Linked DNA regions of Saccharomyces cerevisiae S288C. Changing the gene in region 3 together with the main gene of any one other region gives a genetic interaction. Each region holds a gene or a part of one and is shown on either strand. Other genes may lie near its edges.

Evidence for each region. Genes that interact genetically often act in the same process or in processes that back each other up.
Region 1: mutations in AQY3 (region 3) and DRN1 together harm fitness more than expected from each alone (negative genetic interaction), as found in Saccharomyces cerevisiae (one large-scale study listed by BioGRID).
Region 2: mutations in AQY3 (region 3) and YJL213W together harm fitness more than expected from each alone (negative genetic interaction), as found in Saccharomyces cerevisiae (one large-scale study listed by BioGRID).

What each region holds. Positions count from the first base shown.
Region 1 is NC_001139.9:668,729-672,644, reverse strand, and holds DRN1 (Drn1p), read right to left. Parts: upstream 2,258-3,916; coding exon 734-2,257; downstream 1-733. Other genes in the region: VAS1 (valine--tRNA ligase), read right to left, coding at 1-459; serine/threonine-protein kinase DBF2, read right to left, coding at 2,738-3,916. UniProt on the Saccharomyces cerevisiae protein: Involved in branched RNA metabolism, modulating the turnover of lariat-intron pre-mRNAs by the lariat-debranching enzyme DBR1. Enhances the debranching activity of DBR1 in vitro.
Region 2 is NC_001142.9:30,608-33,891, reverse strand, and holds YJL213W (uncharacterized protein), read right to left. Parts: upstream 1,730-3,284; coding exon 734-1,729; downstream 1-733. Other genes in the region: oligopeptide transporter OPT1, read left to right, coding at 1-42.
Region 3 is NC_001138.5:19,302-25,181, reverse strand, and holds AQY3 (Aqy3p), read left to right. Parts: upstream 1-2,394; coding exon 2,395-4,335; downstream 4,336-5,880. Other genes in the region: DAK2 (dihydroxyacetone kinase), read right to left, coding at 1-1,759. UniProt on the Saccharomyces cerevisiae protein: Channel protein that mediates glycerol entry under ethanol stimulation. Does not seem to mediate glycerol uptake under standard conditions.

The sequences.
Region 1 (3,916 bases), on a different chromosome or scaffold from region 3:
AACGTTAGCAGGGTTATAAGCTTTTAAAGCCGGATCATCCAAGGATACTAAGATTTTTTTCTCACCTGGAACAGTTTTGTCAATAAATTCAGGGATTGGCTCAACTTCCTTCTTTTTCTTAGGTTTCTTTTGAGATGCACCTGTGGTGGCAGCAGCATTTTTTTTAGCTTGTTTGGCAGCGAACTTTAACAGTTTTTCAGCCTTTTTCTTCTCTTTTTCAATTTCCTTAGGAGTCTTTGGAGAGCCATCTTCCTTTAACGGATTAATGATGACCTCACCAGTCTTTGGGTCAACTGGAGGCAAATTATCAAGATCGCTCATTTTAAAGAACCTGACTTGATTATGAGTTAACGACTTCTTCAGAGAAAAGTTTTGACAAAGTGGTAATGATCGCCTATAATGACAGTTCAAAAGCCGAAAAGTGAATGTCTTAGATAATGTGTTTAACCACTTATTCATACCATCTAAGTAATTCCATAAATCTGAAGGACATACAACAACGATGACAGCCAGTGGTAGCACACACAGAGAACACCAGTAGGCTGTATGGGTGACTCTTCTAAAAAAATTTTTTCAGCGCGGTCTCTCGAAGAACTTTACCCGGTTTTTCTTTTAATTCATCACCTCTGAGTTGCTAGGTCTCTTAAACGTTCAGAGGTAGCATGACTTAGTATTCTACATATATATACATATATTTGGATATATTTGAAATTCTAAATGAAATAGTTTTAGTTTAGTTTTCTGTGAGAGAAATGTCATAGGTCCTGTAGGCCTTTTGAAACTTTTCAGCCTCTATAGTCTCTTGTTGCTTAGTTTGTAAACAGGTTGAAGAATTCCATTTCACCCTGCGTGGCAAGTTAAGTAAAAAGGCTAGTACACGTCGTCCAAACTGCAGATCTATTGTCTCACTGGCATTAAATGTGGCCAAATATATCTTTGGGTCCGCTTCAGGAGTCTCGTAGACGGTAAATTGTAAATAATTATTGGATTGGTTGTTAATTACATCCACATATTGTTTGGAAGAGTGTGAATCGTAACATTGGAACTCTAGCTTAGCATTTCTTGTGAATTTTTCGTTATTGAAATGAACCTGTCTATCTAAGGCACTGCAGAACTTTAGAACGAGGTATTTTGGAACGGGAATAACTTGTTTGTGGAAATGAATAGAACGTTCAGACTGTATTTCGAAGACAATCGTGCACATATCAAATTTTATGTAGTTCATCTTCACAAGACTAGCTTCATAAGCCAAAATACTCTGTGTCAACTCTGCGTTCTTGCTTGGATCTAATTTCGGAATATGTTCAATGGGAATAATGAGGCAATGGCCTGAGATATCCATATCACCCTTAGGAACACTTAAAGGTCCCTTCGCTGTGGTTAAATACACTAGTTTGCCGATTGATATTATCATATGATCCTCGAGGTTTGGATTTGAAAAGCAGAAATGACAACTTGACGGCAAAATCGTTCGAATTTTTTTATTTTCATTCTTTTCTCTATTAGCAAGTACCTGTTTGTCTCCATCGAACGAATTCTCTGTTTCTGTTTCTAGTGGCCTTTTATTGCTGTTTGTAACCACGCTATTATACGGGTTAGCTATCAAGTTGGGCGGTTCAGGTTCATCCTTTAGTTCGTTGTCCCCTATTGGCATATTGAATGCATAGGCCCATTTCTTTCCAGATCCATATTTTGGAATATTGAGGAACCTCGATAAGCGCTCTCTTTCCCACTGGAAAGGCTCTAATTCGTAAAAGTTTATTTCATCTGAAAAGGCAAAATGGTACCTTGCTTGTAACTTTTTCGCCAATTCATCAACAACTTCACTTCCAGACAACCTTCCACATCTCTCAGAGATCGAAAGGCCCCATTCTTTTGTAAGGAGAATGTCTACCTGATCCTCACTTTTGCCAAATTCGTCCAGTATGCTTTTTTTCTCCCCTTGAAGAGTATCATCCGGATAAATAAAATATGAAAGAGTGATTCCATTTGCTAATTTATAAGTACCCATATTATGCAGCAATGTTACATTTTCATTTATCTTTTTGGATTTCGAATTGTTAGCCTTATCACACGATAGTAGTATTAGTTGAGGTAACCCATCAGTATTCAGCTCAAAATTTTCATCATACGAGTTACTGAATATAATTATTAGATCAAAGGGCCCTGATTTTTCATTCACTTTCTTGATCTTTCTGATAGCCTCATCGGCATCGCTTTCACTTATATGAGCTACTAAAATCTTTGCATTTGTCATCCTATTTTTATATGTAAGTTTTTGAAGTGAAAAAGATATCAGTAAACCATAAGCCCTTTTTTATATATTATGGATCCTTCTAAGAGAGCTACCTTGCGTTTTTTGTACATCTAGCAATGTAGTATCAGTCCAATTTGTAATTATCATTGAAAAAACAATTGATGTTAACACCCATTCCTTTTCATTTTTTGCAGATTTTCGATTAATAGTGGTCATTGCTGTTTTCCTGTAAAACATTACCAAGTTTCGCCGCTCCCAACATGAATGCTTAAGTTTAGTTCAAAACGGTCATGGGATGGACCGTTACCGTGAACTGAGATTTTAAACAATGGGCTTGAAGTCCTAAGTAATGCACAACTATATATATATATATGTATATTTATGAAAAAAGCGTTCATAGGTGCTAGTTGAAAAGTTTGCATGAAGCTCGTTAAAGCTAATTATATCGCGGCGAATGCAAGACAAGAATTCATTTTTACGCTAGTAAAAGGTTGAAAAGGGGTCTGAGTGTTCCAGTCCGTTGAATAAGATGCCACTGGAACCCTGTTTACCATTTCTATGTCGGAAAGTGAACCCAACAAGTTTTGATGATACTGCCGAGTCATCTACCATAGCCGTTAATTTGTCTTGTCTTTTGAAAACATCAGCATATTTGGCCATGTCAGCCTCACTGGTGAAGTCATCAAAATAACCGGCATCAGTTTCGCTGTCTAGTTGGGGTGTAAAAGGCGGGATCATTGACCTCAAAGTACTAAAGTTTATATCTGCAAAATAAGACATGCGTTTAACATGTTCGAAGGATCTTAATCGATTGATTGGATCGGCAATCAATCTTGTTATTAAATCCCAAGTTCTATCGGAGAATGCTGCCCTCCCATCAGATTGTCTCGGTCTTCTTAAAGTTTGTTTCCAGCGCCTTAAGTTGTCATAGGTCTCATTAGTCGATGATCCACTAAATGGTGTATAACCAACTAAACTTTCGAACAGCATACAACCCAACGACCAGTAATCCACAGTAAAGTCATATTTCTTTCCTTCTAAAACCTCCAAAGCCATATAATCCGGAGACCCAACCATGGAGTTCGCATAATTAATTTCCTTCTCCCTCAACTGGTTGTACATTTTTCTTCTATCTTCTATAGATTTCTCTGTAAACGCTGGAAATTCCAGGTCCTTGATTTTTTCTAACCTTATCTTCATACTTTCAATTCTTTCATTAGAAATCGTACCAGCAGCCAAACCAAAATCTGTTAATTTTATATGTCCCTTGGCATCGATTAAGAAGTTTTCCGGCTTTAAATCTCTATGTGTATAGCCTAAATCATGTAACGCATTAACAGCGCAAAACATTTCACTGATGTAAAATCTCGCATGGCCACTTTTCAAGCATCTAGTATTTATTAATAATGTACGAAAATCACCGCCTGGTACAAATTCCATAGCCAGGTATAAACTTTGTAGGTCTTGGAATGCATACAGAAGTTTTACTAACCATTCAGACCTTGTCGTGGTTAGGATATCTCTTTCAGTTAAAACGTGTTTTGTCTCGTTGAGCTTAAACAATAGTTTTTTGTTCAAAATTTTCAAAGCACACACCTCTTTTGTGTCTTTCTTTCTGGCTAAATAAACTTGCCCATAACCACCTTGACCTACTTGTGT
Region 2 (3,284 bases), on a different chromosome or scaffold from region 3:
TTAAAGAAAGGTGAGACATTTGGTTATGATAAATGGTGGTAATCATGAAAACATAATAATAAACCTGCAGAGGTTCATATCAAGTTTTAATTCAAAATTTGGCACACGTAATAGCAAACTTTAGTTCATATTCTGTAATATTAAGAAATTATTTTCTTTTCTGTCATCCTTTCATATTGCTTAACTTGAAATACTTTATCTCAACGTTTAATTATACTGTTAATAATGATATTTCTATATTTTAGAGCACATTTTGGTCGAAACATTCAAAGCGACCCCTGCAATATTTAGCGGAGGCATCTCATCCGCCTTATTTTTGTAAATTAACGATCTTTAGCGCATGCCAAGTGTTCGATAACAAATTCCGACTTTAAGAAAAAACGGGCACGAGCATACAATAAAAAAACTTTTAAAATTTATACCTCCTTGAGGTGTTCTATTTTATGATAGATCCGTATTTCAGATACCAAATGTTATATACACTTTTTTAAGCTTGGATTTTTTTCTGAATACACGGACCTTACAAATGCTATAAAAAAAAAAAAGATTCTGTAACTTGTAAAATTAAGGGCCCTAAAGGGCCATATCCACCTCACATTTCACTGTGATATAAGTAGGATATTTTGACTTCAATACTTAAATTTACAAGCCAAATATTTTATTATGACTTCAAAAAAAAAAAGGCTTCTAGCATTCAGAAATAATGCTGACTGTGAAAACAACTATAACTACATCAATATATCCTTCCCTCTTTCATGACAAATAGTATGTTGCTCTCGGGTTCATCCAAAATCGTTATATCGTCCAACGGATTTGATTTCATCATCAGTAGGTCAGCAATGAACCCTGGCTTAATCTGTCCCAATTTATCGCCTAATCCGTTCATTTCGGCAGGAGTAACAGTTGCTGAGAGCAAAATCTCTTGTGTCGTTTGAACTTTCCCTCTAATACGAAACTCTTGCGTTTGATAACCATATAGAGGACCCAATAAATCTGAACCAAAACAAATTTTAACTTTTTTTTTCTGGGCAATTTTCATTGCATCAATTCCTTTGTAAAGCACCTCTGTATTTTTTCTACTATTTTCAGGTCCCAAGAATGCACTAAATTGATCAGAACCCATCACTTTGTAGGTAACTAGTGTTGGAGTCAAGTAGCAACCCAATTCTGCCATAAGCTCTGCGGTACGTTCATCTAATAAGTTTCCGTGTTCGATACCCTTAACACCTAACTTGATACAATTTTGTATCGCTTCCGCAGTGTAGGCGTGTGCTGTTACGTATGTGTGGTAACTATTTGCGACATCTACAAGTGCTTTTATTTCGTCGTCGCAAAATTGTTTGTTTGATATTTTGTCAGTTGGAGAGGCCACACCTCCACCACCCATAATCTTAATAAAGTCTGCACCTCTTCTAAACTCTTCTCTGGCCGCTTTGTAGCATTCGGGAACACCATCTGCTACAACACCAACTTGACCAAAGTGGCATGAACAGCTGTCAAAGGCACTAGCAGGTAGGGCACCAGATCTCAGATCGCCATGACCACCAGTTTGGGAAATGGCATGTCCACACGTAATTAATCTGGGACCATTCAAGGATCCCTGACGAATCTCTGCTTTCAGAAAGCCTTCTGCACCCCCACAGTCTCTCACTGTTGTGAAACCTCTTGCCAGAGCGGCTTCCAAAGTGTATCTTATTCTGAGTAATGCAACTGACTTTGGCATCAGCATTAACTTGGTCAGATCAGCCTCTCCTGCAACCGACGCAATGTGGACATGACTGTCGATCAGACCTGGAGTGACATACTTACCGGTGCCGTCAATAATTTCAAAGGCAACTTCATCAACGGTTACCGGCTTTTCAGAACCAAATTCGACCTTGGAAATGACACCCTGTTCTATGAAGATGTAAGCTCCGAGGAGACTGACACCGCTTACCACATCTATCAAATTAGTGTTACTTATACAGTAATTTTTGAGTGGCTCTGGGCGCTATGGTGCCACCAAGTCGGCCAGGGACTTGTTCATTCCTTCATTGACATCGATTTGATAAGTCGTCATTTTTATCTCGGTTAATATACTGTTTCGATGTCCCGTCAATTGGAAAGAAAAGCTACGCTACATACCAGCAAATATGTTGCTTTTATATTCGCTCATATCGGAGATCAATTACCGACATACTCTTCTCTATTCAACAAGTTCTCCGTTCTCCGTCAAGTTACGTCGTTTACGAACGATAAGAGGCTGATCAAATAGGAAGGAGATATTGTCGGATCATTTTTTAGTATGGAGATAATGCGTCATGCCGACATGAAGGCACCATCATCTGTGAAGTGTGTCAAGAAAAAACTGGCGAAGTTAAAGCTAGATAATCCGAATAAGAGGGATAGTAGAAAGGAGGTGAAGTAAAAAAATTATCACCATTTTTTCTCTATTAGTAATGAATTCTTCAAGGACTTTCAAAAGTAAACGTCACAAAAATTTTTATTTCTCAAGAATCTTGTTTATCGAAGGGTCTTTATTGAGAAATGTTAGAAAATTGGTAACTTTTTAAGATCAGAGTTAACAGGCAGAAAAAAAACAGGGTCTTTTTGTTCAGGAACCCTTTTTGGCTGAAAAAAAGAGCGCACAGAACAACGCGAAAAAGAAAAGGAGGAAATCGCGTATCCTTATGGCGTCGCAAAATTGCAATTAGTTAGCTATGTAATCTGTTTGGAAAGCTTCCTCAAAATTAATAATGGCGAAAGCAATATAACATCACTATTACATCAGGAATAGCTGTTGCCATACGATAAGGGGGTAATGAACAGATTGCTCATTAATGTCTATATTATGCATAATACGATTTTAATGTTCGGAATCTGTAGATGGTGCTAACATTTTACATGAACCAGCGAATAACCAGACTGGACTCGTTTGACCAAAAAAATTTCTGTTGGTAGTCTGTGTAGGTTTTCACAAAGAATAGTATAAATTGATACGCAACGAAATTAGTGGTAAAAATTTTTGTTTACTTTACGGCTTACACGGGGCCGTGGCTGATACTGGGAATACCATATCGTTTCGTTCCAGTGCCGATAAAGTGGCTGAAAAAAATTTACATATTTTTCTTGAGAGAGGTCTTTAACTGGTCTCACAGAGACGGTTAATCAAATGCTCGGAAACAGGATAAATGAGGACATCTGCACAATCGGGTGTTACCGCCTTATCTTGTTAGCAGTGGCTATAATCACTCCAGAATATGCCGTCGTGTTGGTGGCATAAAAAATTCTTTTTTTGCCATATA
Region 3 (5,880 bases):
TAACAAATCCATCGAGTAGTGCAGCAAGACCAACTGCTCCTGGATCTGGTAATCCACCTTCGCTGTCGAGTTTTCTCAGCTCCTCCTTAGCCACGTAAGAAGCACGCCCAACAAGGGCATCCATCTTCCTTGTCTTTTCGGCACCATCATAAGCAGCTTGGGCGGCGGCTCTGGGACCCTTCCCGGCTTTCAGCGCTTCGACAAAAGGTTGCAGAGCATCGATCAGAGTCCTGTAACCAGGACGGGCTCTCGTATACTTATACAAAGCATCTAGTGCAACGTTTGATGCCTTTTTGAAAGTTTCCGCAGTAAGTTCCTTGTCCCCAGAATCCCTAACTCCTTGTGCGAGAGCAGAAAGATAGATAGAGTACAGACCACCGGACGTACCACCCATAGAATCCTCAACCATATACGCAATATCTTCGATACCAAGAGCAGCATCCTCGAGGCGCAACGTATGGTTTTTAATAGCTTCTTCCAATGCTTCACCACCGGACACAAGAGTAGTTCCGCAATCACCATCTCCTGCAATGGTATCGTACCAAGTAACCTTTGGTTCAACCTCGTTAATTTTTGCAATCCCAGCAAGCAAAATTTTAGCAAAAGTGTCATAATCAGCTTTCACACCCGAACCTTTTTCATTCCTCAATGTCTTTAAAGAGGGGGCGGTGGGAACCTGCCCTTTGGCAAGTACCTCCCAATCTTTGGCAGAATGGTACATTTGATTCCATCCACTCGCTGTGGTAGGATAATCGAAATACTTAAGGATATCGCCACCAGCTTTTGAAGCGTTCATAAGAGTGATACCAAACCCAGGACCATTCAATGCAGTAATGAATGCTCCAGTAATCGTTCTCTTGGGCACAATTTGATACTTATCAATCAATTGTTCAGAAATGACCTCTGCAGCATAACCCAATTCTAGATTAGACATACCACCCATGTTGTTAACCATAAGAACTACGTCCTCTTTGGGCTCAAACTTCACATAAGAACGGTCTTCATCCTCATCGAGAAGAAGAGGAAGCATCTGGGAAACGAGCTCAGAAATCGATGGCAGCGGAGAAGACTTATAGGTACCAGACTCGTTATGAATACCCATACCGATTTCATACTCATTCTCGCCCAAAATGGCTTCAGGTTTGTGGCCAGGAACCGTGCAGTGATCAAGAGATGCCGCAATTGTGACACTATTGTCAACTACTGACTGAGCAACTTCGGCAACTTCTGCCAACTCCAGTCCATGAGAAGCGGCTGCCCCAGCAATTTTATGCACCAATACGGTGGCTCCGAGACCTCGACGCCCGACTAAAGAACCTTTCTTCTTACCGACAGAGACATCATCTCCTACAGCAACCAGTTCGACTTTCATTCCAGCAGCTTTAGCTCTTTCAGCAGCGAGACCAAAATGTATAATATCACCGGTGTAATTTTTTACAATGATCAAGGTACCCTTAGGAGATTCAACAGCTTTAATAGCAGAATAGATCTGTTTAGTTGAAGGAGAAGCAAAAATGGCACCTGCTGCAATCGCATCTAAGGCACCTTCACCAACAAAACCGGCATGCGTTGGCTCATGACCACTGCCACCTCCAGAAACCAATGAAACTTTAGGAGGGTTCCCTGAATTAGGAGCTGACGCAGTCCGGAAAACCACTCTGTCGTGCTTAATCACTGTAAGGCCGGGATTGCTTCGAGCAAGGCCAAGTAGGTAGGGAGTAACGATGTTTCCATCTGATTTGAATTGTTTGTGAGACATGATTATTTAGTCAATTGTAGTTGGGTTTTGTCAGATTTTGAGGTAAAATACACTTTACAGACAATACTAGAAAAAAAAAGGGCTGATCTGGGTTCATTTATATATATTTAATGATCCAAAGTTTGAAAATTCAATCACACATTGCGGTATTTTCCCCTTCTCGTATTGTTGAGATCCTTATACAATATCAAGTACTTAATTATCCAACTATGGTGACGTAAGAATTTACTTGGCTCAATATCTCCCTATTTGGTACTACGATACGATTTCATGAAATTATGAGTTAAATAATTTAGAATCTAGTTATGGCCTGGCGGGAATTGTTTCTGTGCAGGGATTTACTCACAATCACCCTCTGCGGGAATAATATGCATAGGTTGTGATTAATTTTTTAAATTAAGTTCCATCAGAAGGCCTAGTTTTCTCCGTTGATAACTCCGCTCCGGAATATCATAATTTTCCGGTACCCCACTTACCCCGGAAATTTGAGTTATAAACGTTGTTTGAGCTTTACCTAGTCTTGGTCGATCAAAAGTTCTGGTACCTTTTCACCATGTCTCCCCCTTATTCATATAAAAAGAAGCGTATAATCGCACAGTATAACGCTCCTCTGATATATGATCTAGACCCAAGTAATGAGTTACGAATCTGGGAGGTCATCCTCCTCTTCCGAGAGTACACGGCCACCAACGCTAAAAGAAGAACCTAATGGTAAAATAGCTTGGGAAGAAAGTGTCAAAAAATCTAGGGAAAATAACGAAAATGACAGCACTCTCTTGAGGCGAAAGCTAGGTGAGACTCGAAAAGCAATTGAAACTGGAGGATCATCGAGAAATAAACTTTCTGCTTTGACACCCTTGAAAAAAGTGGTTGACGAGAGGAAGGATTCGGTACAACCACAGGTCCCTTCCATGGGTTTTACTTATTCTTTGCCTAATTTGAAGACTTTAAACAGTTTTTCAGATGCTGAGCAAGCACGTATAATGCAAGATTATCTATCCAGGGGGGTAAATCAAGGCAACAGTAATAATTATGTAGACCCACTATATCGGCAATTAAATCCAACTATGGGTAGTAGCAGGAACAGGCCTGTTTGGAGTTTAAATCAGCCGTTACCGCATGTATTGGATCGAGGCTTGGCAGCAAAGATGATACAAAAGAATATGGATGCAAGGTCCCGCGCATCATCGAGACGAGGGTCGACCGATATTTCAAGGGGGGGTTCTACTACGTCAGTGAAAGACTGGAAAAGGCTCCTTAGAGGTGCAGCACCGGGTAAAAAGCTTGGTGACATCGAAGCTCAAACGCAACGCGATAATACTGTTGGTGCAGATGTGAAACCTACTAAGTTAGAGCCTGAAAACCCACAAAAGCCCTCTAACACGCATATTGAGAATGTTTCACGTAAGAAAAAGCGTACTTCGCATAATGTCAATTTTTCATTAGGCGATGAAAGCTACGCATCCTCCATAGCCGATGCAGAATCCAGAAAATTAAAGAACATGCAAACCCTCGATGGTTCTACTCCGGTTTATACGAAGCTTCCTGAAGAACTTATTGAAGAGGAAAATAAAAGTACGAGTGCATTAGATGGTAATGAAATTGGTGCCTCAGAAGATGAAGACGCGGATATAATGACATTTCCTAACTTTTGGGCAAAAATTCGCTATCATATGCGAGAACCGTTTGCGGAGTTTCTCGGGACACTAGTTCTTGTCATTTTTGGTGTTGGTGGTAATCTTCAAGCAACTGTAACAAAAGGTAGTGGTGGTTCCTATGAATCCCTATCATTTGCATGGGGGTTCGGTTGTATGCTTGGTGTTTACGTCGCAGGCGGTATTAGTGGTGGTCATATTAACCCTGCTGTTACGATTTCAATGGCAATTTTTCGAAAATTCCCCTGGAAAAAGGTGCCCGTATATATTGTTGCTCAGATTATCGGTGCATATTTTGGAGGAGCTATGGCTTATGGTTATTTTTGGAGCTCTATCACAGAATTTGAGGGAGGTCCGCACATAAGAACAACGGCGACCGGTGCGTGTTTGTTTACTGATCCAAAGTCTTACGTCACGTGGAGAAATGCCTTCTTTGACGAATTCATAGGAGCCTCTATACTTGTGGGTTGTTTGATGGCGCTATTGGATGATAGTAATGCTCCACCTGGCAATGGTATGACCGCATTAATTATTGGATTCTTAGTCGCTGCAATTGGTATGGCCCTTGGATATCAAACAAGTTTCACAATCAATCCTGCAAGAGATCTCGGTCCTCGCATATTTGCTTCCATGATTGGCTATGGTCCACATGCTTTTCATCTCACACATTGGTGGTGGACATGGGGAGCCTGGGGTGGTCCAATTGCCGGCGGTATTGCTGGAGCACTCATATATGACATTTTCATTTTTACTGGATGCGAATCCCCAGTCAACTACCCAGACAACGGTTATATTGAGAATAGGGTAGGTAAACTTTTACATGCGGAGTTCCACCAGAATGATGGCACTGTCTCAGATGAATCTGGTGTTAACAGCAACAGCAACACTGGCAGCAAGAAATCTGTGCCTACTTCGTCATAATTAATATTTTCAATTTTTTACGATTTATAACCTAATTATTAATTTCACGAACTTATTATTTGACGACATACTACATCCGGGAGCCGTGACTTTGTTACCATCTCTTACTTGTGCTCTAAATTCTATCGTTTTGTTTTTGTAATAAAGAATGAGACTGCCTGCGGCTTAATTGTCTTTTTATTGTAGGCAAGAACAAAATTCGACTAATACGTAAAATTAAATGTCAAACCAGGAGTCTCACATTATGTTATTAATAAAAATAATAAAATTTTCAGCTCGTTGACGATAGGAAAATTCCTGGCACCATCAACTAGGTAATCCCACTGAAGATGTGTTTTATATGAATATGTGCTATATTTACTAATAATAAAGAGCAAGTTGCCAAATAAACTAATTGTGCTCAAAGAAAATTATTGTCATTATCATATATTTTCTCATATGCAATTTCAATCAATTTTAGACAAGTGATTATATATATGTAAACGGTTGTTTTTTGATGTTACGTTCTGTATGATTGACCAATGCTATTTTTCTCATGCGATATAAATTGGAGAAGTGCCATATTGATTTACGTTACTCAAGTTGTCAATTTCAGCCTGACGTTGAAAAAGATAACAAAATTTGCTCAGATAGGGGCAAAAATCACACTGCCAGCAAATATTTTAAGGATTGATACTTTGGCTAATCCAAGGCCAAAGCAGAAAAATCTATCACCTTTTTCAATTCACCCAACGTTCTCACTAAATGGATGAAAATTCGGTAGATTCTTATCGTATATTTCGTACCAATAACTTGAGTATACCGAACAATAATATAACTCGGCAGTCATTTCCGGCTATACCGTTTTCAGAAAGAGGTTGCCTTTTGATAATGTGGCCAAACGAGGAATTATCTGTTAAAGCCATTATTACATCTCTCAGCAAACTAGTTTTTTAAAGCCACCTCAGCAAAAAGCGCGACCAGGACTTCTTCGGATGTTCTTGGCGTTATTTTGAGTCTTTTGTTTGTTTTACTAAAACCCCCCTAAAGATTAATTATTCTCAAAAATAGTTAACAGGCTGTCTGTCGCCACTCGAAGTCCGGAAAAATGTGCACTTATCTTTTAAGTCCGCCTACCCCGCATCTTCTTTTCCAGGATATTTTTCTCCGAGCACAGAGATTCCGCAAGAGTTTAAAAGTACAATTAACCTTTTATCTTTAAGCTTTTTTTTCCGGAAATATAAGGTTTTCGTCAGGTAAATTTATTTTGGGAGCAGCAACAACATATTACACGTTCCACGTATTTCCCATGATAAAATATATTCATTTCCCCTAATATTTAACTACAATAGTCAGCTCTTCTACAATCCCTAAACGAGCTTTTGATTGGATAAGTGCAAATAAAACAAGAACAGTAATCTTGAATCTTGCATTTGCTCTTTTCTTTGGAAAACACGCAAGCTCGTATAAACTGTATTTTTCAGGAACAGGATAAGATGTGCTAGGTGAAAAGAGGTGCTTGGTCTAGAATATAACTCGGAGAAAAAGTCACCGGTCAAGAGGTTC